Lonchura striata: one gene and its partners. The protein of the gene in region 4 purifies or fractionates together with the protein of the main gene of each other region. This does not show direct contact. Links are inferred from orthologs where the notes say so. Each region holds a gene or a part of one and is shown on either strand. Other genes may lie near its edges.

Region 1 (7,173 bases), on a different chromosome or scaffold from region 4:
TGTCATGTAGCTGTTAGTCAAATGTCTCATAGGACAAAAACAAAGCTGTAAAATATATCCTCAAGTTCCCATGTGTAACAAAATATTATTAATAGATAATAATTAAAAACATTAGTGCTTTTAGTGATAAAAATAATAAACATTACCTGATTCTGTGGTGTAGTCCCTGGGGCACTGGCTGAATTCTGTGTTGCACCCTAGCAAATAAGCACAAAATAGTTTTACAAAGATGCTCCTTTTTTTTCCTTTTCTTAAGACGCTAGTTTCTACTTTGGTTTGTTGTACCTTTGCCCTACATCTTTACTTGTATGTGGCAACAGCAAACAAGAAAAAAGAATGAACAGCAAGGACTATATAACCAGCCCCCTCTCCTTCTACTTCTAGTAAATGCTCAAGAGCTCCAGATAGTCAACAGACCCCAAATTAGGGAATTGAAAAGTAACAAAAGACAACATCAAATCCTAAAAAATTATTTAGAATAGCTTTTTTGTGTGTTTTTTTGTGGTTTTCTTTCTTTGTTTTTTTTTTTTTTTTTTTGGGGGGGGGGGGTTTGTTTGTTTATTTGGGGTTTTTTGGTTGGTTTTTTTTCTGAACAGAGAAGCAGCTTACCTGGATAACTTTTTTATTTGGTGCATTTGCTGACTGTTCCAGAGTTTTGGCTTTCTTCTTTTCCTTTCTTTTTTCCTTATCAGCAAAAGTCCCACGCATTTTAGAGATTATATCAGAGTCTGTTTTTGCATACTGAATACGCTTTTTAAAAGAAAAAAATAAAAAAAATAAAAACAGAGTATATTCTGCAGTCACTAATACTGAACAGTTTGCACCACGTACATTAACTCTGTATTTACACCCTTTTTGTTTTTGCAGAAACCTTTTATATTAAAAACATTGTTATAAAATGTAGGTACACTTATGAAGTAAACAATTCTCAGTTTTTTCTGAACACAAATACAGAAGTCTAAAAAAAAACCCTAATATGGAAATTATTAACTTTAGTTCATTGAAATTGGAACTCCATTTATCTAACATCTTTTTAACATCTGCCAAGGTAGCACCTACAGGGAGATTCATTTGAGCTACACAGAGGACATCTGAGAAAATCAGAACTAGCTTCTATTAAAACTGCCAGTTTTCAGTCCCATTTTAAAGGGAGTTAAAATTTGACAGTGATTTCCAAGATCTCTGCAGAAATGTAAATTCAGCAAAACCCAAACTTCTCAAACAGAAAAGGCAAGTATCTTACAAAAACAACTTACCATTGGTTTCCCATAAAATGGAAAGCCTTGTAGCTGTCTCAAAGCATTGGTGGATGATCCAAGTTCTTTAAATATAACAAATGCCTGTCCTCTCATCTTCATGGTCTTTAAAGCCACAATGTCGACCACATGACCGAACTGTGAGAACAACGCGTACAGGGACCTCTTCAGCTCTGGGCACCAGGGAGAAAACAGATTACAGCAGGTCACAGGCAAATCCCCACTTCTACCAAGACTGCTGTCCTTTGGGAGCAGTGTTTTTTACAAGCTGTAGCTCACACAGTGAGTGCACGAGTTTGTCAAAACTGTTGCATCATTACAAATTTATTTGCCCAGGTTTTGTAAACTGGTGTGCAGCATTTGGTTTCATACCTCAAGGATTTACGTACTGAAGAAGTTATAATGCCATCCATTCTGCCATTCCAAGGGAGGAACAATTACATAAAGGGATGTAAAAACGTATTTTCATACAGGTATATGCACACACACTCAAGCATGATGAATGACAGCCATCTCAGACTGATTAGAAAATCAAAATTGAAACAAGCAGCAGTAGAGACATGATGTAAAACAAGAATGCAGCAGAACAGTAACTACCTAAAGGCTAATTAAAGTTGGACATTTAATCAATTTTCTCACTCACATGAAGTATTTTTTCGTATTCTGGATCCAAATTATTTTTGTATGAGACTACTGCAGCTTACACTGGATTTACTTCAATTATCTACAATAACCTGAACACATGCCAAATTAAACCTTAACACTATCCAAATCAAGGTAAATAAATAATCTGTATTGTGTAATCATTCAAACACAAAAACCTTACATTTGAACTATTGCACCTCTCCCGTGAGGAAAGGCTGAGAGATTTGGGGTTGTTCAGCCTGGAAAAGAGAAGTCTTAGGAGTGATCTAACTTTGGCCTTTCAGTACCTGAAGGGAGCCTACAAGATGGAAAAGGACTATTTACAAGGGTTTGGAGCAACAGGACAAGGGGGAATGGCTTCAAACTGAGAGGAGGCTTAGATGTGATATTGGGAAAATAGCCTTTACTGTCAGGGTGGTGAGGTGTTGGAACAGGTTTCCCAGAGAGCACTCCCCATCCCTAAAAGCATTCAAGACTGGGCTGTAGGGAGACCTCAGCAACCTGATCTAGTGGGAAGTGCAATTATTTGCTTTGCTGCTGTTTCATTACAACAAGGCGTTTGCCTAGAGCTCAGCTCACGACCAACTCCTGCTCAGCAATTCAGAGACGTCGGGGAGCTCCTAAAATCCCTTTTGTAAGACAAGTGCCGTGTTGGACAACCAGAGGCGACCGGCAGCCACTCGTACCTTCCTTCTTGATCTTGTCATTGATGTTGTTGATGTAGATGGTGTGGTTCGGCCTGATGTCCATTCTCAGCAGCACCTGCGGGCAGAGCACACGGGAGAGGCGTCAGAGAATTCCGGGCAGCGGCACCTCATATCCCCGAGGAGCTGCACCTCACATCCCCGGGGAGCTGCACCTCAGAGCCCCGGGGAGCGGCACCGCGAGTGGGGGGGCAGCGTGTCCGTCCGTACGTCCGCCCCGACCCGGCTCTTTCCGTGCTGAAGACGGCTGCGACACTGCAAGACGGGAACTGCAGAGAGGGAACCCCGATCCAGGCCCTCCCTGCACCCCCCCGGCCCCCGGCCCTGAGCGCCCCTCACCGCGGCGCTCCCGCTCGATGGCGGCCGGCGCGTCCCGCCCTCAGGCGCGTCCCGCCCGCCGGCACGCAGCGCAGGCCGCAGAGCCGATCGCGGAGCCGCCGATGGCCGATCGCGGAGCCGCCGATGGCCGATCGCCGAGAGCGCCGATGGGGAGCGGCGGCGTTAGGGAGGAAAGGGGATAAAAGCCTGATGGGATAAAAAGGGATAAAAGGTTGTTTTCGGCTGAAATGGGCGTTTCTTGCCCCAGGTTTGGCTCTGTCCTGTTCTAATAGAGAAATAAGCGAAAATAAGTGTGGTTTGGGTTTTTTTTTGTTTGTTTTTTTGTTGGGTTTTTTTTTTTTTTTAGTTTTTTTCATCTTTTTTTTTTTTTTTTTTTTTTTTTGCTTGGTTTTGGTTTTGTCAGGTTCAATTTGCTTTTTCGTGGTTTTTTTTTTTGTTTTTTTTTTTTTTTTTTTTTTTTTTTGTTTTTTTTTTTTTTTCTTCTTTTGTCTCTTTGCAGCGCCCAGAGCAGCAGCTTGGGAAAGCATGGAATGGTTTGGGTTGGAAGAACCTTAAAGGTCATCTAGTAAAACCAACCTGCCATGGACATGGACAGCTTCCACTAGACTGTGAATAATGCCTATTTTAGGATTGGCTTTTCATAAATATTAATTTGAATAATGTATTATATGTGAATAATATATATATATAACATTATATATAATTATATATAATAGTATAATAATTTATATACTAATATAATATATATTAATTTATATACTAATATAATATATATTAATTTATAATTATATAATATATTAATATATTAATATATGTAACAGTATATATAATAATATAATAATATATTTATAATAGATATAAAATATTACTTTGAATGCTATATTATGGTATACTATACTATATATATGTTATATTGATTAGAAGTGCTGTATTTACATTTTAATAGTATGGTAAATGTAGTTTTGTAGTTAAAATAGAAACTATGTATGTGGGGGTTTTTTTTTAAGAGAACGTGATACTCACTTTGAGAGAACAATCACAGAACACCCAAATCTTCCAGAAAAGAGGAATTCATGGTTCTCTTTTCTAATTTCTTCAGGCCTTGCTCAGACTTGAAGACACTGTGGGGATAAGAAGAAGCAGGTGACACATTCCAGACAGAGTTTCCTATTTTAAATAGAATGTATGCATAAACATGAAGTCTGCCTGAATATGAAAGTATGATTTTTATTTTTATGAGTATGATTTTTAAGGGTGATTCCTTTGTTCACAAGACATGCTTGTCATGGCTTAAGTGCCCGAGAGCATCCAGACGTCTGTAAGTGTTTGGTTTTTATTGCCTTGTAATTGTCCTAACTCTACATTTTATTACTCTAATAGTATTACTGTTTTTATAACCATTTTATTATTATTAAACTTTTAAAAGCCAAGTGATTGGTGTTTTTCACACAACCCAGCCATGAATACCCATGGCACAGCTTCTCTGGACAACCCCACCACCCTCACAGTGAAGTATTTCTTCCCAATATCCAGTCTCAACCTGTCCTCTTTCAGTTTGAATCCATCCCCCCTTGTCCTATCACTCCATAACTCTGTAAAATATTGCTCTCCAGATTTCTCCTTAGAAATAAGGCTTCATTTATTAAACCTCTCCTTATAAATTAGGCCCTTTCTGAAAGGCCACAGTTAGGTCACAGCAGAGCCTCCTCTCCTGGCTAAGCAATCTGTGAAAAACACCCATCTCTTGTTTTAAAATTTTAAAAGTTTAATAGTAATAAAATATTTATAAATTAATAATAAAAATTAGAGCAGTTAGGACAATCAGAGTTAGGACAATAAAAAGCAAAGAATTACAGATGTCTGGATGCTTTCCTCTTGAAAGCATGGCTCGCTAACAAAGGATTAACCCTTAAAAGCAACAGCCTGTTGGATATTCATATATCTCATACCTGATGCATAAATACTTTTCAAACAAAGGGTGTTCTCTGGTTATTGTCAACTTCTTCCCCTTAATCCTCCTTAAAGACTGAGAAGAGGTGGAAGGATGTTTATCTTTTCCAATAAGGAGGCAGTAACTCTTAGGTGTCTTGTTGCTGTTACCTCTGTGCAAAGAATTTCTTGATAATCTCATCCCTTTCTTGAGCTAGTCAAAAAATATCTTACATCACATAGTTTCTACTATAACATTATGTTATAATCTATAACTCTATTAACCACACTACTTAAAAAGGATTAATACAGTACTACAAAGTAACTTCCCAACATAGCACATATAGTATTCATTATAATATTTGCGAAGAGCGCCAATAATTTAATATGCATTTTTCACACAATCCCACTTCCCTCAGCCTCGCCTCATAGCAGACAACCTCCATCCTGCAAACCACAATTTTGTCCCTTCTCTGGACTCTCCCCACAAGTCCATGTCCTTCCTGTGCTGGGTGAAGATCACAGAGCTAGATGGGAGAATGCAGAAACTTCAAAATGTAAACATTCAGTAGGCAATATTTGGTTTTTGTTCCAATATTGAAAAGGCAGTGTGTTTTTTTGAATGGAATTTCTTGAAAGTACTTTGAAAATCCCTCTGGCAGTGCTGTCTCAGCACAAATAAACTGCAGAGATTGAGGTTGCAGCCCTTGAATTTTTGGAATAATTTTGCAGGCTGCATGCCCTCATTTCTAGGAATTATTAGGCAGGCTTTTTTCAGAAACAATTTGAAGTTGCAATGGTATGCATATAAAAAAGGAGTTCTTGCAGGGGAAATACTTCGTAATCAATAAATTAATTTTTGCTGAAGCTATAAATTATATTGGGGCAGGCCAACTCTTTGTAAAGAAGCAGGAATATTAGGCAGAGTTCTTGGTTCAGTAATATTTCAGGGAAAAAAAAAAAAAAAACAAAAAACCATTATTCCAGATCCCAGAGTATGTAGGAAGTATATAAAGAAAAACATGGATTAAAGGGATTCAAAAATAATAGCCAAAGGCAAATAAGCTGTTGACTGAGGTGTCATTCACTGGTGGAAGGAAACAGTGTGTACTGCAGTTGTTTACAGCAGAACATGGTGTGGGAAGTGTTGTGCCAGGGGATGCCTTATGAAATGCATACACATGACAGATTCAGAATGTGAAAGGCAGGAGTTCTGATCAAGTTTTAGGGTTCTATTTATTTTTCTTTGTTAATTGCCTTTGAGTTAGTTGTTAAGATAAAGTACAGCTTTCAAATCCAAGTCTGAACAATACATTAAAATTTCTTTTTTGGAAAGGCTGGCATCAGCAGTACAGTCCATGTAACTATAATTTATTATCAATGTTCAAAAGTGCTTATTTGTTACTGAGTCAACGTAGATAAAAGACCTGGTCTCACAGAATCAAAAATCTTGACATTTTATAAATTCTTTTTAAAATTAAGTCCTTTAACTGCCCATAGAGAAGACATTCTGAAAAACAAACACAAAAAACCCTGTCAACTTTACACAAAGTATGGAAAAATTAATGGCTTCTATATTTTATCCAGCACAGCATGCCACACTTACATTTGCTCAGAGTCACTTTAAGGACAGCTGATTTACTCTTGCACTATTGGAATGCAATAAGGCTGAAAAAATGCATCTTTCCAGCACCTCAGATGGGATTTCACAGCCTGACTGCCAGTTCAATAAAAGGGACATTCATTCCTCAGGTTGACTTCCTCCTCAATTCCCTAAGGTTCATTTGAATTACTTCTGTTTCCTTGACCCCCAAACAGAGGTATAGTACTCTCATATGCATTCAAATGGTCATTTATGTTGTTTATTTAAAAGTCCCTAAATGCTAGAAATATTGTAAAAATTACTTCAAATTTCTTAGAAAGAGTAGCTGCAGCACCTTAATAACCAATTATGATTCATCACCCATAAAATGGGCTGGGAACACACTTTCAGCTTGGACAGGTACCAGCTTTATCAGAGGCTACCAAACAACTCTGGAGAAACTAAACAAAGGGCACAGGGTTCTTTAAAATATCTGTGCAGCCACCACTTTCTCTCTTCTGCCCTTTGCTTAAGGTGAAGGAAACCCAGCATTTCATTGTTATTGCTGCTGTTTATTATGAAACCTGTAATAAAAATCAAGGGTGTCTTTTTTCTTCATCTTCCTTCTCTAAATTCAACAAAACTCTCTGAGGTATGAATAGCCAAGAGCTGTTTATGGTGGAAGCTTCACAGCTTCATGGCCTTGATTGTGTCCACA
Region 2 (7,690 bases), about 1.6 Mb from region 4:
GTTTGTCCCCCCCGTGCCACCCCGAAGGGTTCCCGTACAGGGGCACACAGAGGGGTCTTAGCTGGCTCAGGAGGTCCTGCGGGGACACTCACACTCGTGCTGCTTGAAGGGCGGGTGGGATCGCCGCACTGAGACCAAGATAAGGAAGAGGAAGAGGGGCCACAGGATCTCGATCGCCAGCTGGATCTGCGGGAGAAGCAAGGCTGGTGGGGTCCCGATCCCCATCAGTGCCCGGGGCTCTGCCTGCCCCTGTGCCCGGCACCAGCCGCTCTGGGTAGCCCCAGCCCAATCGCCCACTCACCCGCTGCCGCCGGCGGTAGGTGAAGTTCTTCCAGAGCAGCAGCCCCAGCTGGGTGCCCACGGCCATCGCGGGGGTCGCGGGCCCCGCTCGGCTCCGGCTGCGGGTGGGAGCAGGGGGGGCAGCCCCAAGCTGAGGGCGACGGCTGGGCTCTCGCTTGCTTCTGCTTCGGGGCTTATCACAGCCCGGGCACTGTGCCGGGCACAGGGCTGAGCTCCGGGGCTGGCATTCCGGCAGCAAAGCTCCTTTCCGGAGCTAAAGGCTCAAGTCACATTCTTTCCTAAATCAAAAGCACCAGAATGGGGCACGAGCTCTGCCCAAGAGCCCAATTCACTGCCCACGCCAGGCACAGAGAGCAGTCCGGCACCCCTGGAGTAGCTCCGGACGATGTGGGCAGCCCAGGAGCGGCTGAGACCTGCCCGTGCCTCAGTTTCCCCATGAGAGGGATGTGGGTGGGGCTCTCATCAGCCCAGGAGCGGAATTTCTCCGGTGCAGCGGGCTCGAGGCGCGAGCTCCGACACCCGGATCCCACGGGTAGCACCCACGTCTCTGCCAGTTCCTGGGAATTCACCCACCTCTGGAGCGGGGCCAGCAGCTCCGGGGCCCGGCAGCAAAGTTCTGCCAAGGCGGCTCGGTGACGAGCCCGGTAGCGGCGGCGGCACGACCCAACCCGCAGCGTTCCGCCCGGTGCACCCGCCCACGCCCCGGGAGAACCGAGCTCCGGGGCGGCTCCCTGGGCACCACCACCCCCGCCTTGCCCCTCGCTTTTCCCCGGGGCCGGGGGAGCCGCTCACTCAGCCGCCGCCCCGCGCTCGCCGCCGCCGCCCGCGCCCGGGGCTAAGCCGGGTCCCGGGCGCAGCCGGGATAAACGGGCACGGGGCAGCGGGATTAGGATCCCAGCTGGGAAATCCGCCTAATCGGCCTGCGGGGCCGGACACGAGTGGGTCCGGGGCAGGATTCCTCCGGGGATGCACAAGGGTCAGATGGGGTGACACGGGGAGACAGAAGCAGCTGCCAGGTGGGGGTGACACGGGGAGACAGGTGTCTGAGTGTCCCCAGCCGCTGGAACCGGAGGGTGCTGCGGAACTGCCGGTCCGGGGGAGCCCCAGCCCCGCGGGGGCGGCGGCTCTTTTCGGGACAAACCAACCACAGGATTCCCTGGATCCTCCCGGGGGACTCGCGTGGGAATCTGCTCACTCATCTCACGAGGACAAACACGCAGCATCGCTGCAACCGGGAGCTCGGTGGACCCCGCGACCCCGGCAACCGCCGGACCGACGGCTCCCGGCCCCGGCGCCCTCCGACCCCGCGTCCCCCGGCCCGGTTCGCCCCACTCTGGGCGGGGTGCGGAGTCACCGCGGGGCGGACAGGTCGGGAAGAAGTGGGGACAGCCCGCGAGAGATACACACAACCCAGGGGGGGCATGGGGACAGCTCGAAGGGACCGTGAGGACAGTCCAGAGGGGACATGGGGACAGTTCGGGGCTACGCTGGGGACACGGGAATAGCCTCGGGGAGGGGGGGGCGGGGAGGCACTAAGAGCCTCGGGGGACGCTGAGCGGCCGCATCCAGCCGAGACCCGCAGCCGGGACACAGCCTCCCCTCGTTCTTCTCCCCTCTCGCAGCCCCCGGCCCGGGACCCCCGTTACCTGCTGCTGCTGCGCGGCCCCTTTAAGAGACCCCGCTGCTCCGCCGGGCGCGCGCGGGCCCCGCCCTCCCCGCGCTACAAAGTAGCCGAGGGCGTGACGTCACGGGAGCCGCTCTTAAAGGGGCAAGGACGTGGGGGGGAGTAGGAGCCCCGCCTACCCCACCCCACCCCACCCCATCCCATCCCCATCCCCATCCCATCCCCATCCCCATCCCCATCCCCATCCCATCCCATCCCCATCCCATCCCACCCCACCCCACCCCACCCCATCCCATCCCCATCCCATCCCCATCCCCATCCCCATCCCATCCCGTCCCATCCCGTCCCATCCCATCCCACCCCACCCCACCCCATCCCATCCCCATCCCATCCCCATCCCATCCCCATCCCATCCCCATCCCATCCCCATCCCCACCCCACCCCATCCCATCCCCATCCCATCCCATCCCATCCCCATCCCATCCCCATCCCATCCCGTCCCATCCCATCCCATCCCCATCCCATCCCCATCCCATCCCCATCCCATCCCCATCCCATCCCGTCCCATCCCATCCCATCCCATCCCATCCCGCCCCACCCTTGGGAGCCCGACGGAGGAGCGCGGCTCTTCCCAAAAAAAGCGGATCCTTTCCCGGACAGGCACGTCCCGTCCCGCCGGCGCTGTTCATCACTCATCATTTATCAGCCGCACATCAACTAAGTCCGCAGCCCGCTCCCGGCTCCGCTCCTCCCCTGGGACTCGCAGCATCCCCAGCACTGGCATTTCTGGGGTCTCACCCAGCTCTGCAGCAGCTCGCAGCCCCCCGGGCACAGAGAGAGCCCTGACAAGCAGCCTGCAGCAGAAACCAGCTCCTGCTCATGTCGGAAGGGCTTTTATTTATTTATTTATTTATTAATAAAAGGTTTCAGTCTGAGAGCATCTGCATTAAAAACCGCACGGAGCAGGAGACGTCGCTGCGGCGCTCGGACACCGCCCGGCCAAAGCTGCCAGCATCCCCAGCCCGGGCAGTGCCAAGCGCCTCCGGCAAAGCCGCAGGAAACGGGGTGGTGGCTTTTGTTTTCCATGGAAAAGGGTCGGCGTTCGTGTCCAGGGGGATGTGGTCCCGAGTGGGCTGCGGCCCCGAGTGGGCTGCCACCTCCTAAAATCCCGAATGGCGCAGGGTATTTAACACGCTGCTTAAGAAAATTAATAGAGCATAATTAAACAATCATCACATCTAACAATTACATCATTTATCGTGTACTAGGTACACAGGTGCAGTTCTAGCAAGTACAAGACCTACACTTTACTTTCCCAGGGTATTTTCCCAGCGCCTACTAAGCTTAATTTCCTTTCTAACCCCCAAATCCCTGTGAAAAATGCATATGTTATGATTGGCTTTGCACAAACATCACAATGAATATTATATGCATAATGTTAGAAAGTTATGCTGTATTAATTCTCTTACGTAGTGTGTTAAATATAGTTTTAGGTTCCGACATAATGTTAAAATAGAGACTATGTATGTGGGGAAGTTTTTTTTTAGGAATGAGATACTCGCTTTGAGGAACACCTAAATCTTCCAATAGAAAAGAATTTATGGCTTCATATCAGAAGAAACTAATTTCTTCAGGCCTTACTCAGACTCGAAGACCCCATGGGGATTAAAGGAAACAGCTGACATACAAGAGAGTTTCTTGTTTAGAATAGAATGTATGCATAACCATGAAGGATTTATGAATATGCAACAAGTGTTTTAAGGGTGACTCCTTTGTTCACAAGGGATGCTTTTCTTGACTTAGTGTCTGAGAGCATCCAGACATCCATAATTCTTTGCTTTTTATTGTCTTGTAATTGTCCTAACTCTAAACTGTATTACTCTAATTGTATTACTATTTTTATAACCATTTTATTATTATTAAACTTTTAAAATTTTAAAAACCAAGTGATTGGTGTTTTTCACACACACATAATCATGGGATATGATTCTATGCAGGTGCTTTTATTGAAGAGCTCTGGGAATCAGGGGTACAGACCCAAATCTGACTCTGACACGGCTTTCGAGCTGAACATATTTTATATTCTATCATTATATAACTTACATATTAATTATTACACTTATATTGTTTATAAGTTCTATCGTTATATATTTTCTATTCTATCATTATACAATTTACATATTAAACTTATATTATTCTATTGTATACATTGACTTTATTCAAGCATGAGTTTCTTGTGACCTTTCCCAACCCCCCCGACCAGTTTCTCGTGATTATTCTTACGAATAATTATATAATATATAATTATAATCAAAATATTTATATTTATATTTATATTTATATTTATATTTATATTTATATTTATATTTACATTTATATTTATATTTACATTTATATTTATATTTATAGCTATATTTATATTTATATATATTTATATTTATAGGTTAGTTATAGTTATAGTTAGTTATAGTTATAGTTATAGTTATAGTTAATATAATTAATTACTGTCAAAAACAGCGGTCTGTTTTCCCTGGACCGCTTTTTAAAATAATCATTTTATCATTATTAAACTTTTAAAAAAATGTTTTAAAACCCCAAGCGACCGGCGTTTTTCACATCCCCGCGCTTTAATTTCAAACCCTTTGCAGACGCTCGCCCCTCAGGCCGCGCCGCGCGCGCGCGCCGTCTCCGCGGCGACGCTGCCGTAAAGCGCGGGCGCGCGGGTGTCGCGGCCATGGAGATGCCGCTGCCGTCTCCGCGGCGACGCTGCCGTAAAGCGCGGGCGCGCGGGTGTCGCGGCGCGCGGCGCGGCCCAGCGGGGCCGGGGAGCCGCGGCCATGGAGATGCCGCTGCCGCCCGAGGGTGAGCGGCGATCCGGGGCTCCGGGGGGAGCGGGGGGACAGCGGGGAACGCGGGGAGAGCGGGCAGTGACGGCCGTGCTTCCCCACAGATCAGGAGCTGCGGAATGTCATCGACAAGCTGGCGCAGTTTGTGGCGCGGAACGGGCCCGAGTTCGAGAAGATGACGATGGAGAAGCAGAAGGAGAACCCCAAATTCTCCTTCCTCTTCGGGGGCGATTTCTACGGCTACTACAAGTACAAGCTGGCGCTGGAGCAGCAGCAGCGTGAGTGGGGGCTCTGTGAGTGAGTGAGGGCCTGCGGCTCGGGCAGGGCCGGCTCGGGGCTCGCTGCCGCCCCGGCCGCGGTCCCCGGGGCTCGGCCGCGGTCCCCGGGGCTCGGCCGCGGCTCCGGGGCTCGGCCGCGGTCCCCGGGGCTCGGCCGCGGCTCCGGGGCTCGGCCGCGGTCCCCGGGGCTCGGCCGCGGTCCCCGGGGCTCGGCCGCGGTCCCCGGGGCTCGGCCGCGGTCCCCGGGGCTCGGCCGTGGTTCCGGGGCTCGGCCGCGGTCCCCGGGGCTCGGCCGCGGTCCCCGGGGCTCGGCCGGCCCCAGACGCTTTTGTCTCTCCCCGCTCCGCCGGGACCGCTCTCAGCCTCTGGCTGCTCTCAGGGTTCCCGGGAGGTGGCTCAGCGCTGCCCCGGCTCCTCACGGTCCCGGTGGTGGCTTTGGGGACGGGCAGCGTGGTGGGACGGAGCTCAGCGGGATTTTTTGACCCCCACGGCCAGAGAGAGCAGAGTCCTATTTTAATAAATCATCGCCAAGATGATTTATTAAAAAAAATACGGATATTGATCTAATACTGATATCCAACTGGGACGGACAAAAACTCTCTAACAGTTTAAAGTTAGAAAGTGTGTGTTTATTGTGTGTGGGATCGCTCCCAAATCCACACCGCAGCCTCCAGATGATTACAGAGTCCTTTTAGCCATACAAGTGTTGAATACCCAAAATACAAATACATATTCATCATTTTGGTATATCCCATTCCTCACTTCGTATGCTAATAATTTCAAAAGTTATTCACCATGAGTAGTTTGTTCCTTGAATGGGTCAGTGATCCCTTCCCAAAATGAGGAAGTAAATGAAGTCTTCCTCGTTCTGACCTTTCTACCTTTTCAATGCAAATATGACACATGAACTCTTGGTAGAACTCTCATTTTTTGTCTTCAGTTGGTTTCAGAACAGAGGAGCCCCACAATTGTCTTATGTTCCTAAAAGCTATTTGTCAGTTTGTATATTCTTCATTATAAACCCAGCTAACTAAACATTGTGCTGACAAGCAATCAGTTATTAGTTAACTACTAACTCTTAACTTCATCAAGGCCTACTCATTTATTTTCATTAACTCTAGTAAGGCTTATCTCTAACTAAAATCTTAGCTCCGCTAAAATCTAAATTCCTTAAAATTTACGTTTCAAGCGCCTGCAGAACCAGAGCGGGGCTGGTCCTGCTGTTGTCCCTCTGGAAGGTGCTGGCTCTCCTCTTTGGCACCATCCACCCGTGATTTTGGGTTAAGTGTAGAATCAGAGTGTGCTGAGTTGGAAGGGACCCACCAGGATCAGTGAGTCCAACTCCTGACCCTGCGCAGGACACCCCAATAATCCCACCAAATATCTGAGAGCGTTGTCAAAGCAGCTCTGGAGACCCCTCTCACCCCCTCAGTCTCTTTGGAGCCATTTTCACCCGTGGGCTGGTGGTAGCAGGTTTCTCTGGGAGGTTTACTTTCAAAGTTTGCTCTGTCTGATAGTGTTGTGCAAGCAAAGCCAAGATATCGAGGCTTCGGCACAGATCCAGCCCCTGCCACAGCCATCGCTCCCGCCGGCTGCGCCCATGCCAGCCCCTCAGGGCACCCCTTCTGTGGAGGAGCTCATCCAGCAGAGTCAGTGGAACCTGCAGCAGCAGGAGCAGCATCTCCTGGCTATGAGACAGGTTGGTTTGAGATCAACACTCTCCTGGTGTGTCCTGGCCCGCCAGTGGCTGCAGGAATTAGGAGTGAAGGGGGAGAGGATGGTTTGCTGCTGAGCGGTGCTGGAGGTGAGGAGAAGGGATGTTGCTTTCTTTGTTTTTGTTGCGTGGCAAATGCCATCGTTCCCCTAGAATGGACGTGTCTGGTGTGTAGGTTGGGTTATGATTGCATAGGGGTTATATTATTATGGGATGAGTGATCTGTGATTAGAGCCTTCTATTTGCTCTTTGAAAAATCTTGTTAGTTTTAGAGTGGAATGAATTGTGACTGCTTAAACTTTGGTTTAATGCTGCAGATTGCTGGGAACTGCAAGATGTTCCAGGTTGTAATATTCCCACTTAGATGTGATTAGAGATGGAAGGGAACTGTGTGCTATCAACTAGCTGATTTTTGCAGGAGACATTTAGCTGTTAAAGCTGCTGAAAACCAAACTGAAGAGTTTCTTGTGCCTTGGTTATATTCCTTACCTTTAAGAGCTTCTTGCAATTATTTTTTATTACATGATAGATTTTAGAAGTAGAAGTAAACTGGACTTCTCTGTAAAAATGTGAAGAGTCTTTTCAGAACCATTTCAATTGGAACATTTTCATGAGGTCACAGGGCTTGTAAAGGATGTTGGTCCTTGAGATAGCCCTTAGGTCCAAGAGGATAAGGATACAGCAGCTTCATTCTCTAAAAGAATTTTGGCTATAATGTAATTCTTTCTCTTTCTTGTTTGCTTCTGTTTTGTTTGTTTTTTATCAGGAACAAGTCACATCAGCAGTTGCCCTTGCAATCGAGCAACAAATGCAAAAGGTTTTGGAGGAAACCCAGTTAGATATGAACGAATTTGACAACTTGTTGCAGCCAATAATTGACACTTGCACAAAAGATGCAATCTCAGTAAGTGATCTGAATCTGCACAGG
Region 3 (7,916 bases), on a different chromosome or scaffold from region 4:
AGAAAGAATATTTCCAATGCCTTTCTGTTTTCAATTCCTTCAGGTTGCTACTCCTTGAAGTTTGGGATTTGGTTGTTTGTTTTTTTTTTATGGCAGCAAACCTAAGCTGATTTTCCCAAGCCAGGACAAGTTTTCCTCTGGGACTTTCCTCATCATATTTGATTTTGCCCAGTGGGCAAAGCTGAAGATCACTGGGAGGACAGCAGCAAGCATTTTCTGGGAAAAAAAAAAAAAAAAAAAAAAAAAAAAAAAAAAAAAAAAAAAAAATCCAGAAAGGTTTGGAGGTTCTGCCAGGGTCACCAAAAAAAGTGTGGTGTGTAGCAGGGTTGGTTCTCTGCTTGGGATCTCCACCATTGGCTGGAAACCACCAATTAATGGGATTTTGAACAGGTTGACATTGCTCTGATCAGCCCTCATGTTTTGCTTTTGTGCCACGTGCTGATCCCCACCATTTCCCACCTGTGTGAGTGGGAGCTGCTCTGTTGTCCCCATCCTCAGAGGTTCTGAAGGGTGGTTTCTCACAGCCACCCCAGAAAACTCCAGTTAGGTTGCCATGCACTGCCCTCTAATGCCATTTCGGCATATTAGCACCCCTCACCCTCAGAGGAGATCTGCAACATAAAACAAATCATCCACATCCACCAAAAACTGCTATCAATGCTTTAGGGAAATGAGACATAAATGAGACATTTAATGGCTGCTTTTTCCCCATCCCAGCACTGCTTTATTTTACACATTCTTAAAGATCACCATCAGGGAGAAAAATGAGAACTCCCTATTTACCTTTTCTGGGCCATTTTGGGTGCTTGATGCTTCCAAGGTCCCCTTCAGCTGCCTGTTTTCACCCAGCACATCTGATTTCTTTATTTTTTACTGCACTGCTGCTTCTTGGAGAGGATGAGATACCCAGGAGTGCAGGTGGCCACTCAAACGTTCATGTGCGTGTTGGATTTATGAGGATACGTTCTCCTTTTTTAAGATTTTAATGCTTCCCAGCAGCCTGTTTGCTTTCCTGCTTCCTTCCTTCACTAAATAGGCATTTCAGGAAAATGGTCCACAATGAATGCAGCATCTCTTTCCTTAATGGAAGCAGCTGATTTAGAGCTGCTGCTGTGTGTGTTTTGTTAGTGCTATTTTGTCTTGTGTGCATTGCTTTGCATTCATTAACAGTGGGCCCCATCTGCTATCTCATCACTGAGCCAGTGCCACGCTATCCTTCTGCAACTTCTTGCTTACAGCTTTTGGCTGATTACTCTGAAAAAAATTGGGATTTGCAGCAGATTTCACCACCTTGGCTGTACACCTTTTCCAGGTGGGCTGTTGGTACAATGAGCAGTTCCAACCAAGGCTGGTGGCTCTTCTCACAGTGGGAAAATCAGTTTATTCACAGCTTTTTGGATCTCCCTATAATTCCTCTCCTCTCCTCTCCTCTCCTCTCCTCTCCTCTCCTCTCCTCTCCTCTCCTCTCCTCTCCTCTCCTCTCCTCTCCTCTCCTCTCCTCTCCTCTCCTCTCCTCTCCTCTCCTCTCCTCTCCTCTCTCCTCTCCTAGTTCAGGAGACCCAGCTGCATCAAACTCATCTCAAAACAATGAGAAAATTGTGAAGCTGGGAGAAAAGGGCTACAAGAAAACATAAAGACAGAGCGACATGAGATTAGAAAGGCAGGTAGAACTGGTGACTCAGCAATCACAAGTGAGATTCAAGAAGAAAAGCACCAGCATAGAAAGGTTTGAAATACGAATGGGAAAATAAAGTAGCTGGAAGATCACGCTTCAACATTTATGAGGGTCTGTAGGAGGCAGAGAGCTGGCCAGTGCTCCCCCACCTTTGCAGATGAAAAGGAGATTTCAGCCACAATTAACCCACCTGCAAGATCTGCAATGCTGGGGATGAGCTCACATATTTCTCCTCCATTTCCAGTCTGTCTGGGACCTTGGCAGCAGGGTGAGGTTTCTTTATCTCCCCAAATTTAATGAGAAGGATTTTCTTGGCTCTTCTGCTTCTAAGTGGGCGTGTACAAATACACTGTGGCTATTATCACAGTGATGGATCAGTTTTGATCCATGCCTACTGCAGTTTCCAGGCTTAACCAAGAGCTGCTTCTCTCCTTGTGAGTTATCTGATTTATGGCTTTAATAGGTAGTTATTTACAGGTCTGATAATTCAGCCTTTACCCTCCCTGTTATGACTTGTTCTGAGGAGGAACCAAAATCTCCCGTTGCTCTCGTGTTTTCCACCTCTGCAGACTCTAATCTCCTTTGAGTTTCTCCCAGTGTCTGTCATGCTGTGATATTGCTCTGACATCTCAATCCACAGGGATTTTTTTCTGTACCTTTTGATGCAATTAATTATTTGATTCCTTCCTTTAACATAGGATACATGGTTCTTTTCTCAGTGGGACTCTTAGGCTGTAAAAGTAGTCCCTTGCTGATTTTATTTTTCTTCCACAAGGTTACAGATGTGTGAATTATATCAATCCTTCCTTTAAAAAATGCAGGCATTGCTAACGCAAAAACCTCAGGAAGATGCTTGGGAGATCCTCTATAAATAAAGTGAAGACAATTTCTTTTTATATTTAAGGAACTTTCACTGTCATGATGAAAATAGACATATATGTAAATGTATTTAGAAGTACTGCGTTAATAGAAAGCAGCATAAGTAGGAGAGGAAGTAGTAGCTTTATTTTATTTATTTTTTCAGCTAACCACAGGGAAATAAACTGCACAGTAGCACAGTCAGAAGCAATGCTGGAGATAAAGACTTTCTGATTAATACAGAGATAGTGCTTGTAATATTTTGAGGTTGAGGTGCCAGGTCTATTTGCTTCAGGGCTGGCGTTTGGCTTTGCAGACAGTCTTGCATGTTCATTTGCTCATCATGTGGTGCAAGTGGCCATAATTCTTAGAAAACTCAGCTCATCTATTTCACATGCTTGGTATGAGCTGGAGACACACCAGTGCAGCGTAAGTAAAAAAGAAAATCCTTTTTTGCCTCTGTCAAAGAGAAGATATTAAATAATTAGTGCAGGATATTGGGCTGGGAAATTGGTATGGTTGGGTAAATTCCAGGTTCAGACAGATGCAGAATTTTAAGGTTTTTAGAAAACAAAGATTGTTTTGGCAGACCAAACAAGTCCACTTCAGGCCCAAATGACATAATGCAGCAAGACCTTCTAATAGCCAAATATTTTGCAATATTTGCAATTACCCAGTGACCTCAGTGACAGTGATGGCACAGCAAAATGACAGCAAACATGCTGGAATAACAGACAGAATTGTTTGAAATTGATGAAGAATAAGTCCTCTGTTCTCGTAACTTTCTCAGTGCTGCCAGAGTCTTCATGAAGAATTTCATGTAATTGTCTCCATTTTCCTGCCCAAAATCTCAGATGCCCTTGGTAGGTAACTAGAAATACTGAACAGCCATGGAGACTGGTTACTCACTGTATAAACTACCACAGATTACTTAAGGAGTTAGAAACACGGTATGGAAAATTGTAACAGAACATCCAGAGCAAACAGTGTTGGGGGTAAATCCAGCCCCTTGGGATGTGCCGTGCCACCCTCCCACTGATTTATTAAAAAAATATGGATATTGATCTAGTACCAATATCCAGCTGTGATGGACAAAAACTCTCAAACAGCTTAAAGTTAGAAAGTGTGTGTTTATTCTACACTGGGATAGCTCCCAAATCCACACCGCAGCTTCCAAGTGATTACAGAGTCTTTTTATCCATACAAGTATTGAATACCCAAAATAAAAATCCATATTCATCATTTTGGTATATCCTATTCCTCTTTTCATATGCTAATCACTCCAAAAGCTGTTAAGCATGCGTGGTTTGTTCCTTGAAATGGGTCGGTGTCCCTTCCATGGGGAGGGGTCCCAAAATGAGGAAGTAAATGAAGTTTTTTCCTCCTTCTGACCTTTCTATCTTTTCAATGCAAATATGACAAATGAACTCTTGGTAGAACTCGCATTCCTTGCCTTCAATTGGTTTCAGAACAGAGGAGCCCCACAATAGTCTTATGTTCCTAAAAGCTATTTTCAGTTTCTATATTCTTCATTATAAACCCAGCTAACTAAACATTGTGCTGACAAACAATCAATTATTAGTTAACTACTAACTCCTAATCAAGGCCTACTCATTTATTTTAATTAACTCTAGTAAGGCTTATCTCTGTGAAAAACGCATATTTATGATTGGCTTTTTCAAATATTACAATAAATATTATATGTGTAATGTTAGGAAGTTATGCTGTATTAATTCTCTTCAGTAGTGTGCAAAATATAGTTTTAGGTTCCAACATAATGTTAAAATAGAGACTATGTACGTGGGGGAAGGTTTTTTAGGAATGAGATACTCGCTTCAAGGAGCACCTAAATCTTCCAAAGGAGAGGAATTTATGGCTTCTTATCAGAAGAAACTAATTTATTCAGGCCTTGCACAGATTTGAAGACACCATGCGGATTAAAGGAACAGTTGATATACAAGAGAGTTCTTGTTTTAAATAGAATGTATGCATAACCATGAAGGATGTATGAATATGCAACAAGTGTATAGGTTTAATGTTATTCCTTTATTCACAAGGGATGCTTTTTGTGATTTAGTGTCCAAGAGTGTCCGAGTGCTTTTTATTGCCTTGTAATTGCCCTAACTCTAAACTTTATTACTCTAATTGCATGATTATTTTTATAACCATTTTATCAGCATTAAACTTTTTAACATTTTAAAACCCAGGTGATTGGCAAGTTTTTCACACCTCTGACTAAAACCTTCGCTGCTCTAAAATCTCGAAATCCCCTCACGTTTCCGTCCCGCCGGCCGAGGGGCGCTGCCGCTCCCTCCTCCCGCCGCCGGGGGGCGCCGGCGCGGCGGCGGCGCGGGGCGCAGTGCGCAGGCGCGGCCCTTCCCGGCGGGCTCAGCGCCGGCTGATGGCGGCGGCGGCGGCGGCGGCGCCGGGACGGGTGAGGGCGGCTCCGGGCCCGGCCGTGTGGGGAGGCGGCTCTGAGCCCTGCTGGGTGTGGGCAGGCAGGGGAAGGCAGGGTAGGGCGGGTGTGCCACGCTCAGCGGCTTCCCAGGGGGCTCCCGGCCTGTGCGGAGTGTGTGTGTGTGGGGGGGGGGTGTCAGGGCCTGCTTCGCCCCCGCTGTTCCCAGATCGCTGCCCACCTTTCCTTTTACTGTGGGGACAGCTCCTGTGACTCGCTGCCTCGTCCCTTCCCCGCGGTGACAGCGCCAGCCCTGCGTCCAGCCAGCTGTCCAGGGTCTGAGCAGGAATGGCTGGGGGGGCTCAGCCTGGAGAAAAGGAGGCTCAGGGGGGAATTTCTCGCTCTCCACAACTCCCTGATAGGGGGGACAGCCGGGTGGGGGTCGGGCTTTGCTCGCACGTAACAAGCGGCAGGACAATAGGAAATGGCATCAAGCTGCGCCAGGCGGGGTTCAGGCTGGATATTAGGAAGAATTTCTTGTCAGAAAAGGTACTTAAGTGTTGGAATAAACTGCCCAGGGAGGTGCTGAAGTCCCCATCCCTGGAGGTGTCCAAGGGAAAAATAGATGCGGCACTGAGTGCTCTGGTCTGGGTGACAAGCTGATCTTCAGTCACAGGTTGGATGATTTCAGAGATTTTTTTTTCCACATTGACTGATTCTGTGATTCCCCAGAATCATGCTGTCTCCTCACTCCCCAGCTGCCAAAATCCCACTGCTCTGTGGCAGGTGGAAATTGCTACAACACCCTGTCCTCATCCTGTGCATCTGTGCCTTTATAACCCCTGCTGTGTTTCATCCCGAGGCCAGATGTTTAATAGTCTTCAAAACCTCCTTTTTCTTTTTGCAGTAAACTTCTTGCTGTTGAGCCCTAATTGTTCATATTCCACTGCAGGATTGAATTAATTCTTGAACAGTTTTCATCACTTTTCAAATTGTTACTTTTGTACAGCATTGCTCTAGTTATGTGTATTTACTACTCACCAGAAAGAAGTGCATTTTCTCTGGCTTTAGGAAAAGTGAAATAAAAGGTGGTGTACCCATGTATGAAACTGTTAGCAAATAACCTGGAATTTGGCTTGTAGTGTCATCTAGAGTTTTTTTTTTCTTTTATTTTGTCTTTCAGTTTTAAATTGAAGAGAAAATGTCACTTTACGATGACTTGGGGGTTGAGACCAGCGATTCTAAAACAGAAGGCTGGTCCAAGAATTTCAAACTGCTGCAGTCGCAGTTGCAGGTGAAGAAAGCAGCTCTCACACAAGCAAAGGTATAGTCCCTTTGTGATTTTTCTTTCTGTTTTTCGTGTTCAGTGCATTGTGTTTGTGACCTCAGAATTTGCTGACATTTGTCTGTGAGTTTGTAGCAGAGAGCCTGACAAAGCTGAAGGGGAAAAAGGAAAAACGTGTATTTCTTGATGTCTCTTAGAGGGGGTGTTGCAAAATTAAAACTGAAGGAAGCACTGATGTATGTGCTGCAAACCTCTGAACTTTTAACAGCAGAGCCAAAAGCTGATCTTCAAGTTTAGCTTTAAAGATAATGAGATTCAGCTTTATAAAAATTTTTTTAATGTAAGTAGGGGTCACACTGTGATTATTTACATGTTTACATCATTTTATGGTTGTTATTGAAAAGCATCTTGGTGCTAACCTGCAAATCATTATGTATTAGAAATTTTACACCAAGTATTTCCAGAGTAGGTGAAAAGGAGGAGTGCAAGCTGATTTTTGTTAGACTGTGACAGAGCCATTTTCTCTTTTTATTGCTTCTTCTTTTCATTTCACCCTTATTCTTTCAGCAGTGTTGATATTTTGATTCAGGCAGGACACAGGTGCTCTTTGAGGCACTGTAGGTTCTGTAGTGAGGTTACTTAATTAAAGGAAGAAGCAGTAGCACTGATGCCAGATACTTGAGTAGCCACAGCATTTTTTTCACTGTAATTACTCGTTATTTATGCTGCAGAAATTGGAAGCAGGATTTAGTTGATAATGGGAACAAACTTCATGGAAGAAATTTACTGACTGCTGTATTAGTTATATTCTTTTTCCATGTACCCGATGTGCAGTGTATCCATAGCCTAACAGAAGAATAAGATAGGATTAGAAAACTCAGTTCAGAAGAGTTTAAAATATTTTATCTGATGATAGATGGGAAGAACAGTAGATCTTTGGAATAAATCTGAGTTTCTTAGAAACTAACTCAGTTCAAACTCACCTGAAGTGATTGGATGAATTTTCCATGTGTGTTTCTGGTCCCAGTGAAAACTTAGGACCATCCACCTGCCACAGCAAAGTCTATCAAGTAAGCCAATTTTTAGAAAACTGCTTTATCTTTTTTAGACATTGTGTGTTTTGTTGATTTTTGCAGAGTCAGAGGACAAAACAAACCACAGTTCTTGCTCCAGTGATTGACCTGAAACGAGGCAGCTCCTCTGATGAGAGACAGATTGTGGACACACCCCCTCATGTAGCAGCTGGGCTAAAGGTAAGACCAGGACAGCTAAAATTTCCAAATGTTTTGGAAGTTGAATGCTTCCTAGTGGTCAAAAAACTGATTATTTTCTGAGAATATCTTCCTCTGCTGAGAGTTCTTTAATTAACATTTCAACATCATTCAGACTTACATGTGCTACAGCATGGAATCACCATAGTTAATGTGCAGTTACAAAACAGTGTTCTTAAAATCCTGGACATCTTCAAATTATTTGGCAAGACAGCAATTTGGGCAGCTAAATAATGACTATAATTGTGTTGGCACCAGTGTTGGAACTGGAAGTGTATAACAATCAACTGAAAAATAAAACAACTAAAGCCTCTAACCTTTTAAATTGATTTCTCATGGTAAGAAATCAAGATAAACTCTCTGCAGCTTTTTCAGAGGAAAAGTTCTGAATGGTTCTTTTAGATTAGAGGAGAACAGTCTGTGTGCTGTGTG
Region 4 (7,041 bases):
CCAGCTTACAGCAGCCAGAGACCTTGGGAAGAGCAGCTTCCCAAACTGAGGGTGAATTGAACTGGACCACACGGCCAGATCCAGGACTGACTCCCTGAGGCCCCTTGCAAAGACACCAGGAATTTAAATCCAAGTGGGAACAGCCCTGAGAGAGGAACTGGGATACCTGCAGGGAGCAGCCAACAGAGGAGTTAAACTGCACTGGGAGAAGGCCCTGAGCTGCCTTTGCTGGAAGCTTTTGGGAACGTGGTATTCACATGGTACTCCCACCATGGAGAGCAGGTCCTGGTGCCACTCCAGTTCTTGACCAGGACAGAGCCAGGACATGCCACCAGTTCCTGTCCCCAAAGCTCTGCTGAGCAGACCCTCAGGGCTGCTGCTGCCAAGCACCTGGGTCAGGCTGCACCAGCACCTCGGGATGGGCTGTGGACACATCCCAACACCAGGTACCGCTGGGTTTAACCCTGCTCAGGAATCCTCCTCCACCAGAGCTCCCAAAATCCCTAAAGCCCCAAAATCCAGCACATGGTGCTCCAGGCTCAGTGTGTTCAGGCAGTTTGTGGGTCCTTTGGAAGCACAGAGCAGAACCACAGCTGTGCCTGGCAGCCAGGCCAAAAGATACAGGGATGGCCTTGGAGAAACATCCTGTTATTGTGGCCACATACCTCTGGCAGAGGGGAGAGCTGCGGGATGAAAGGCTGCTCCCAGGGGAGCTGGCCCAGCTGCCGCTGCACAAGGACGCACAGAGGGGAGGATGGGGCTGGAGCAGCTTTATCTGAGCCTCTCTAGGGTGTTTTTTGGATAAAATGCAGCAGCACAGAGCAGATCTGTCAATAACCAAGCTCCCCCTGCCAGAGATTCCACAGGCAGGCAGTGGGGCCTGGCTGCTCTTAGTGCTGCTCTGCACGTGCAGCTGTGCAAGTCCCTCAGGCTGTGCCATGGAATATCCCTGAGCTTTCCTCGGGATGGCCACAGGCACAGTGAGGAACAGCTGGCACCTGAGGAGGGGAAAGGTTGAGGAATTGGTAAAGTTGGAAATGGCCTTTAAGACCATCAAGTCCAACCATCAGCTCAGCACCACCAGGTTCACCACTCACCCCTGTCCCCAGGTGCCACATCCACAGATCTCCTGAACACTCCCAGGGATGGGGACTCCACCACTGCCCTGGGCAGTCCGTGCCAGTACTTCCAAACCTTTTTGGTGAGTAAATTTTCCCCAGTATCCAATCTAAACCTGTCCTGGGCACAACTGGAGGACATTTCTTCTTGTCTTGTCCTCTGTTCCCTGGGAGCAGAGCCTGACCCCCACCTGAAGGGCCCTGACCCCACTGAGGGAGAGGAGAAGGGCTGGGGGCAGTGACCCCACTGAGGAGGGGAAGGGCTGAGCTGACCCCACTGCACCAGGGAAACAGGGGAAAGCAGAACTGAGCATTCAGCATTCCCTTTCCCACCAGGGGAAGGCAAAGGGGTGCACAGGCAGCACTCACTGATGGAGAAGACGTTCTCCTCCTCTTTGGTGATCTTGCAGTGCTCCAGCAGCAGAGCTCCAATGGGCTGAAAACACATGGAGAGAAGGTTTAACCCACAGGGGCCCCAACACCACGAGGGCTCAACCCACGGTACTTCCCTGGAGCCTTTTAAGCAACTTTCACAAGCTGGTGCTGCTTTTGAATAATTCATTCTGATTGCACCATATTTCATGTTCCTTTAATCACCTTTTCATGCCAGTCTCACCTGCAACACTTTGCATTTGTTAATTAGGTGTCAATCATCTCTACTGGCTCAGTTTCAGCCTGGTCTTAACCACTCTGTGATACCAGAGAAAAACATTTGCTTTTAAAATCAAAGATGAAACATTTACTGTGACACCCAGAATAACCAACACTGAGCTATGCAAGGGCTGTCCTGGAGCCTTGCAAGTGTGAGCAGAGCTGCAGCAGCTGAGGATGACCAAAAAACCACCTGGTACTACTCAGGGACACGGGGACAGCAGGTGACATTGGCCATGAACAAAAGCAACCACAAGAAATCCTTGTCCAAGTGAACCAACATGTCAGAAGCAAATCAGGCAGCAGGGAAGGGATTGCAGACCTGATTTATCTTGCATTTCATACAACTCTTTGGGTTGGAAGAGATCTCAAAGCCCATCCAGTGCCACTCCTGCCATGGCAGGGACACCTTCCACCATCCCAGGCTGCTCCAAGCCCTGTCCAGCCTGGCCTTGGGCACTGCCAGGGATCCAGGGTGGGCACCCTGTGCCAGGGCCTGCCCACCCTGCCAGGAACAATTCCTGCCCAATCTCCCATCCAGCCCTGCCCTCTGGCACTGGGAGCCATTCCCTGTGTCCTGTCCCTCCAGGCCTTGTCCCCAGTCCCTCTCCAGCTCTCCTGGAGCCCTGCTGAACTGATGGAAGGTGGACCCTGCTCCAGCTCTGCCATGCACCATTTTCCCAGCCCACACAATCCAGGCATAGAAAAAGAAGAAAGGAGGAGGGGAACAAACCCCACGCAGAGGCCCAATCCCTACCTCAGCCTCATCGGTGCGGAAGTAGAAGAGAAAGTTCACCACGAGCTTCACCAGGCGCTTCTTCAGCACTGCAGGGGCACAAGGGAGCAGGGCAGGGCTGAGGCAGGGGCACGGGGAGCAGGGGAGCCCTGCCCACCCTGCCAGGGCCCAGCGTGGCGCTGACCCCACCAAGGCACCCCCCGAGGCTGCTCCCTCAGGGTGACAGTGTCTGAGTGGCCTCAGGGTGACAAAGCCCCTGAGCAGCTCCCGGGCAGTCAGAGCTCACAGCAGCAGCACCACGGGGCTCCAGGCACTCCAGGAAAAGCTCCGGATCCTGGGAGCCCTGCCTGGAGCTGCCAGCACGGGCGTCACCCCCACGGGACAAAGTCCAGCAGGTGCTCAGAGGACGAAAGGCTCAGGACAAGGGAGTGAGCACAACACTGCTTGTTTGCAGGGGAATTTTCTAGGAGATTTCAGGGAAGACCTTCTTCCCCAGATCCCCTGGAAATGGGGGATCTCCCTGGCCCCAGCCCAGCCCCAGAACCTCCCTGCACGCCCATACTGGAGCCCAGCACTCGTGCTCCCCACTGCCACACTCCAGCCCTCCCAGCCTGCCTGTCCCCAGCCCTGCCTCCCAGCACTCCCAGTCCTGCCCTGGTTTCCCAGCCTGGATTCTCCAGTACCCTCAATCCTCCCACCCAGCTCCCCCAGACCCTCTCCAGCCTCTTCCCCCAGCAGCTCCAGTTCTGATTCTGCAGTCGGGGCCCCTCAAGTACCCTCAGCCCTTCCCTGGTCCTACCCCAGTTTCCCACTCGTGATTCTCCAGTTCCCCCAGCCCCACCACCCACGGCACCTTCCCAGTCCCTCCCAGTATCCCCAGTCCCGACTCTGCCCCCCAGGTACCGCCGGTCCTGTCCCACCTTCCCCTGCCTCCCCCAGCACTCCCAGTTCGCCCAGTCCCGGCTCGGAGCCGCCCCAGTTTCCCCAGTATCCTCAGCCCCACCGCCGCAGCTCCCCTCGCACACCGCTCCCGCTGTCCCAGCCCTGCCTCCCCGCTCGGGGCCCCTCAGGCAGCGCCGATCCCCCCGCGCTCCCGCCCCGGTACCCCAGCCCCGGCTGCGCCCCGCGCGGATCCCGCTCACCGCTGCCCTTCTTGGGGACACTCATGCGGATCTCGGCCGCTTTCTCGGCCGGCTGCCGGGCCAGGGACAGCAGCTCCCGCTCGTTGTAGCGCATGGCGGGCCCCGGCCCCGGCCACGGCCCCGCCCGGGCCGCCCCAGCGCCGCCGGAAGCGCCCTCAGAGCGCCCGGAACGGCTCCGGGGCCGGAACGGCTTCGGAGCCCGGAACGGCCTCGGCGGGCCGGAACGGCTTCGGGGCCCGGAACGGCTTCAGAGCCCGGAACGGCTTCGGAGCCCGGAACGGCCTCGGCGGGCCCGGAACGGCTCCAGGGCCCGGAACGGCTTCGGGGCCGGAACGGCTTCGGGGCCCGGAACGGCTTCGGGGCCGGAACGGCTCCAGGGCCCGGAACGGCTTCGGCGGGCCCGGAACGGCTTCGGAGCCGGAACGGCCTCGGCGGGCCGGAAACACCGCGGAGCCGCGGGAGCGCGCAGGCGCCGGGGCGGGAGCGCGGCCGCGCGCAGGTTCGGAGCGGGGAGAGACCCTGAGGGGAGAGGGGGGAGAGGGGAGCTGAGGGGAGAGGGGCCATGAGGGGAGAGGGGGACTGAAGAGGGGCCGTGAGGGGAGAGGGGGAACTGAGGGGAGAGGGGGACTGAGGGGGAACGGGGCAGGACTGGGGGAACTGGGGAGTCGGGGCTGGGCAACTGGGAGTGCTGCGTGAGGAGAGACTGGGAGAGCTGGAAGAGAGGGACTGGGAATGCTGGGTATGGAGAGACTGGGAGAGCTGGGAAGCAGGAATTGAGAACTGGGTGAGGAAGGACTGGAGAGCTGGGAAAGGAGGGATTGCAAAAGCTGGGAGAGAAGAGACTGGGAGAACTGGGAAAGGAGGAACTGGAAATGCTGGGTGAGGAGGGACTGGAAAGCTGGGAAAGAGGGACTGGAAATGCTGGGTATGGAGAGACTGGGAGAGCTGGGTATGGAGAGATGTGGAATGCTGGGTGAAGGGGAATTGAGAGAACTGGGTGAGGAGGGACTGGGAGTGCTGGGTGAGGAGGATTCAGAGAACTGGGGGAGAAGAGACTGGGAGATCTGGGTATGGAGAGACTAGGAGAGCTTGGTGAGGAGGAATTGAGAGAACTGGGTGAAGAAGGACTGGGAGTTTGGAGTATGGAGAGACTTGGCATGCTGAGTGAGGAGGGACTGGAGAGCTGGGAAGGAGGGACTGGGAGAGCTGGGTAAGGAAGAATTGAGAGAACTGGGTGAGGAGGGACTGGGAGTGCTGGGTGGTCTGGGTGGTGAGGCTGGGGGAACTGGAGAATCACGAGTGGGAAACCAGGGTAGCACCAGGGCAGGATTTGGGTTACTGGGAGGATCAGCGGGGCAGGAACGGAGGCACCTGGAGGTTGCCGAATGCAGAACTGGGATGGAGCTACTGGAAAAGTACTGGGGAAACTGGGTGCCCTGGGTGGGAGGACTGGGGGTGCTGGAGAAACTGAGGGTGCTGGAAATGGAGGGACTAGGAGAACTGGGGTGGTGGGGCTGGGGGAGCTGGAGAATCACGAGTGGGAAACTGGGGTAGGGCCAGGGGAGTGTGGGGAGGATGGGGAAGAGCACCTGAGTGGGAGTCAGTGGGCCTTGACTGGCTGAATCAGGACTGAAGCTACAGGGGGATGTGGCTGGAGAGGGACTGGGGACGAGACACTGGAGAACTGGGTGCTCTGTGGGGAAGGATTTGGGGTTCCTCAAAGGTCTTTCCAGTGTTTGGGCTCCCTGTGGGGAGGTCTAGGCAGGGCTCTGACCTTGCTGAGGGCAGGGGGGACTCCAGGACCTCACCTGGGGCTTGGGGACATTGCTCAGAACCCCTGACCTTGTTGGGGGGCTTGGGGGGCTCTGACCCTCCCTTGGTGTTGGGGGTGGCCCTGGGGCTTTGGGGGTGGTGGGGGAGCATAGACCTGGTGGTGGTCAGGGAGGAGCTCTGGGGCTGTTGGTACCTCAGGTGAGGGGGGAAGGCTCCTCTGGTGGGGCCCAGCTGGGCTTGGAGTGGCTGAGGTGATGGGAAGGGCTCCGGGGGGATTTTCTGGATCCGTACTCGGCTTTCCCAGGTCGGTGGTGCCGGATGTGCTCCATGTGGGATTGCATCCCGTGCTGTGTGCCTGGGGCATGCCTGGGTGTCACCCCCACCCTCGCTGCTGCGGCTGAAGAGTCCTGTGGCTCAGTTGTCCCTGACACTCCTTCCTCTTGGCAGACTCCATTTCTCCAGGAGGAGCTGAAGCCCAGAAATCCCCAGCATGGATTTCCAGCACCGGCCCGGGGGTAAAACGGGCAGCGGGGGCGTGGCCTCGGCCTCCGAGAGCAACCGGGACCGGCGGGAGCGGCTGCGGCAGCTGGCCCTGGAGACCATCGACATCAACAAGGTGCAGGGGAGCCCCCGCAGCCCGGGGGACACCGGGCACAGTCACATTCATGGCATCCTGCAGTGCTTTGGGTTGAAGGGAGCATTAAAGCTCATCCAGGGACATCTCAGGTTTCTCCAAGCCCTGTCCAGCCTAGACTTGGACACTTCCAGGGATCCAGGGGCAGCCACAGCTGCTCTGGGAAATCCATGCCAGCTGCCCACCCTCACAGCCAAGAATTTTTCCCCAGTCTCCCATCTAAACCTACTCTTGGTCTCTTTGAAGCCATTTCCCTTTGTCCTGTCCTTCCAGGCCCTTTTCCAAAGTTTTCCTCTGTCGGTATAGGACACATGAAAGCATGACACAAGCTGCTACTATTGCAAAGGTGAAAAAGAAAGAGTTTATTTTCTGACTCCAGCATTTATACTTTTTTAAAGGTAACAGTGGATTGGAGGGTGCAAGTGCCACCTCTCCAATGACATTGGACAAACTACTAGTACATCAAGTTTCTCCACCTCTATGAAGGAATGCAGAACAATAAGTTGTTTACAGAAAGTTGTGTGAGAAAGTTCTCTAACAGAATGGAAACTCAGAAGGCTTTAGAAAATCTTAAGAATCAGGGCGACATTCCTCCAGTTCTCTTGGAGCCCCTTTAGGCTTTATGGTCACCCCAGAGCCTCCTTGTTTCCAGGCTGAGGTGTGGATTGGGTTTAAATACATCTGTTTCTGGGCATGTGGGGGTTGAATAAGGAATATTTAGGACAGAGTGACAAGGAGGTGCCAGCTCTTGTGTATCCATCTATTTCCAGTCTCCCCAGGGCTGGTTTGGGTTGTGGTGTTTCCTGCTACAGTTGGGAATTCTGTCACCACTGCACACATAGCTGCTGTTGGTTCTCTCTTGTTTCCTCCTCCTAAACCTCTCTTGTGCTGTTAATTTAAAATCTGAACTCAGCTACAGGATCCTAGGGTATCCTGAGCTGGGAGGGACCCTCAGGGATCATCAGTCCAGCTTCTGTCCCTGCACAG

The links.
Region 1: the proteins of SF3A2 (region 4) and SNRPB2 purify together in Homo sapiens (affinity purification with mass spectrometry; 6 studies listed by BioGRID and IntAct, with this or other methods). This does not show direct contact. The link is inferred for Lonchura striata from reciprocal best matches to the Homo sapiens genes SF3A2 and SNRPB2.
Region 2: the proteins of SF3A2 (region 4) and CHERP purify together in Homo sapiens (affinity purification with mass spectrometry; 3 studies listed by BioGRID, with this or other methods). This does not show direct contact. The link is inferred for Lonchura striata from reciprocal best matches to the Homo sapiens genes SF3A2 and CHERP.
Region 3: the proteins of SF3A2 (region 4) and RBM17 purify together in Homo sapiens (affinity purification with mass spectrometry; 4 studies listed by BioGRID and IntAct, counting the BioPlex papers as one, with this or other methods). This does not show direct contact. The link is inferred for Lonchura striata from reciprocal best matches to the Homo sapiens genes SF3A2 and RBM17.

What each region holds. Positions count from the first base shown.
Region 1 is NC_134605.1:3,353,054-3,360,226, forward strand, and holds the start of SNRPB2 (U2 small nuclear ribonucleoprotein B''), read right to left. Parts: upstream 3,012-7,173; 5' UTR 2,945-3,011; intron 2,664-2,944; 5' UTR 2,652-2,663; coding exon 2,588-2,651; intron 1,430-2,587; coding exon 1,257-1,429; intron 751-1,256; coding exon 610-750; intron 198-609; coding exon 147-197; intron 1-146. UniProt on the Homo sapiens protein: Involved in pre-mRNA splicing as component of the spliceosome. Associated with sn-RNP U2, where it contributes to the binding of stem loop IV of U2 snRNA.
Region 2 is NC_134630.1:4,531,881-4,539,570, forward strand, and holds the start of CHERP (calcium homeostasis endoplasmic reticulum protein), read left to right. Parts: upstream 1-4,688; 5' UTR 4,689-4,761; coding exon 4,762-4,786; intron 4,787-4,874; coding exon 4,875-5,048; intron 5,049-6,565; coding exon 6,566-6,747; intron 6,748-7,528; coding exon 7,529-7,666; intron 7,667-7,690. Other genes in the region: phospholipid-transporting ATPase ABCA7, read right to left, coding at 93-186, 302-367. UniProt on the Homo sapiens protein: Involved in calcium homeostasis, growth and proliferation.
Region 3 is NC_134607.1:69,612,643-69,620,558, reverse strand, and holds the start of RBM17 (splicing factor 45), read left to right. Parts: upstream 1-4,897; 5' UTR 4,898-4,967; intron 4,968-6,111; 5' UTR 6,112-6,129; coding exon 6,130-6,252; intron 6,253-7,349; coding exon 7,350-7,466; intron 7,467-7,916. UniProt on the Homo sapiens protein: Splice factor that binds to the single-stranded 3'AG at the exon/intron border and promotes its utilization in the second catalytic step. Involved in the regulation of alternative splicing and the utilization of cryptic splice sites.
Region 4 is NC_134630.1:2,945,557-2,952,597, forward strand, and holds the start of SF3A2 (splicing factor 3A subunit 2), read left to right. Parts: upstream 1-4,036; 5' UTR 4,037-4,146; intron 4,147-4,837; exon of another isoform or gene 4,838-4,857; intron 4,858-5,867; 5' UTR 5,868-5,910; coding exon 5,911-6,036; intron 6,037-7,041. Other genes in the region: PLEKHJ1 (pleckstrin homology domain-containing family J member 1), read right to left, coding at 1,488-1,554, 2,527-2,594, 3,648-3,741. UniProt on the Homo sapiens protein: Component of the 17S U2 SnRNP complex of the spliceosome, a large ribonucleoprotein complex that removes introns from transcribed pre-mRNAs.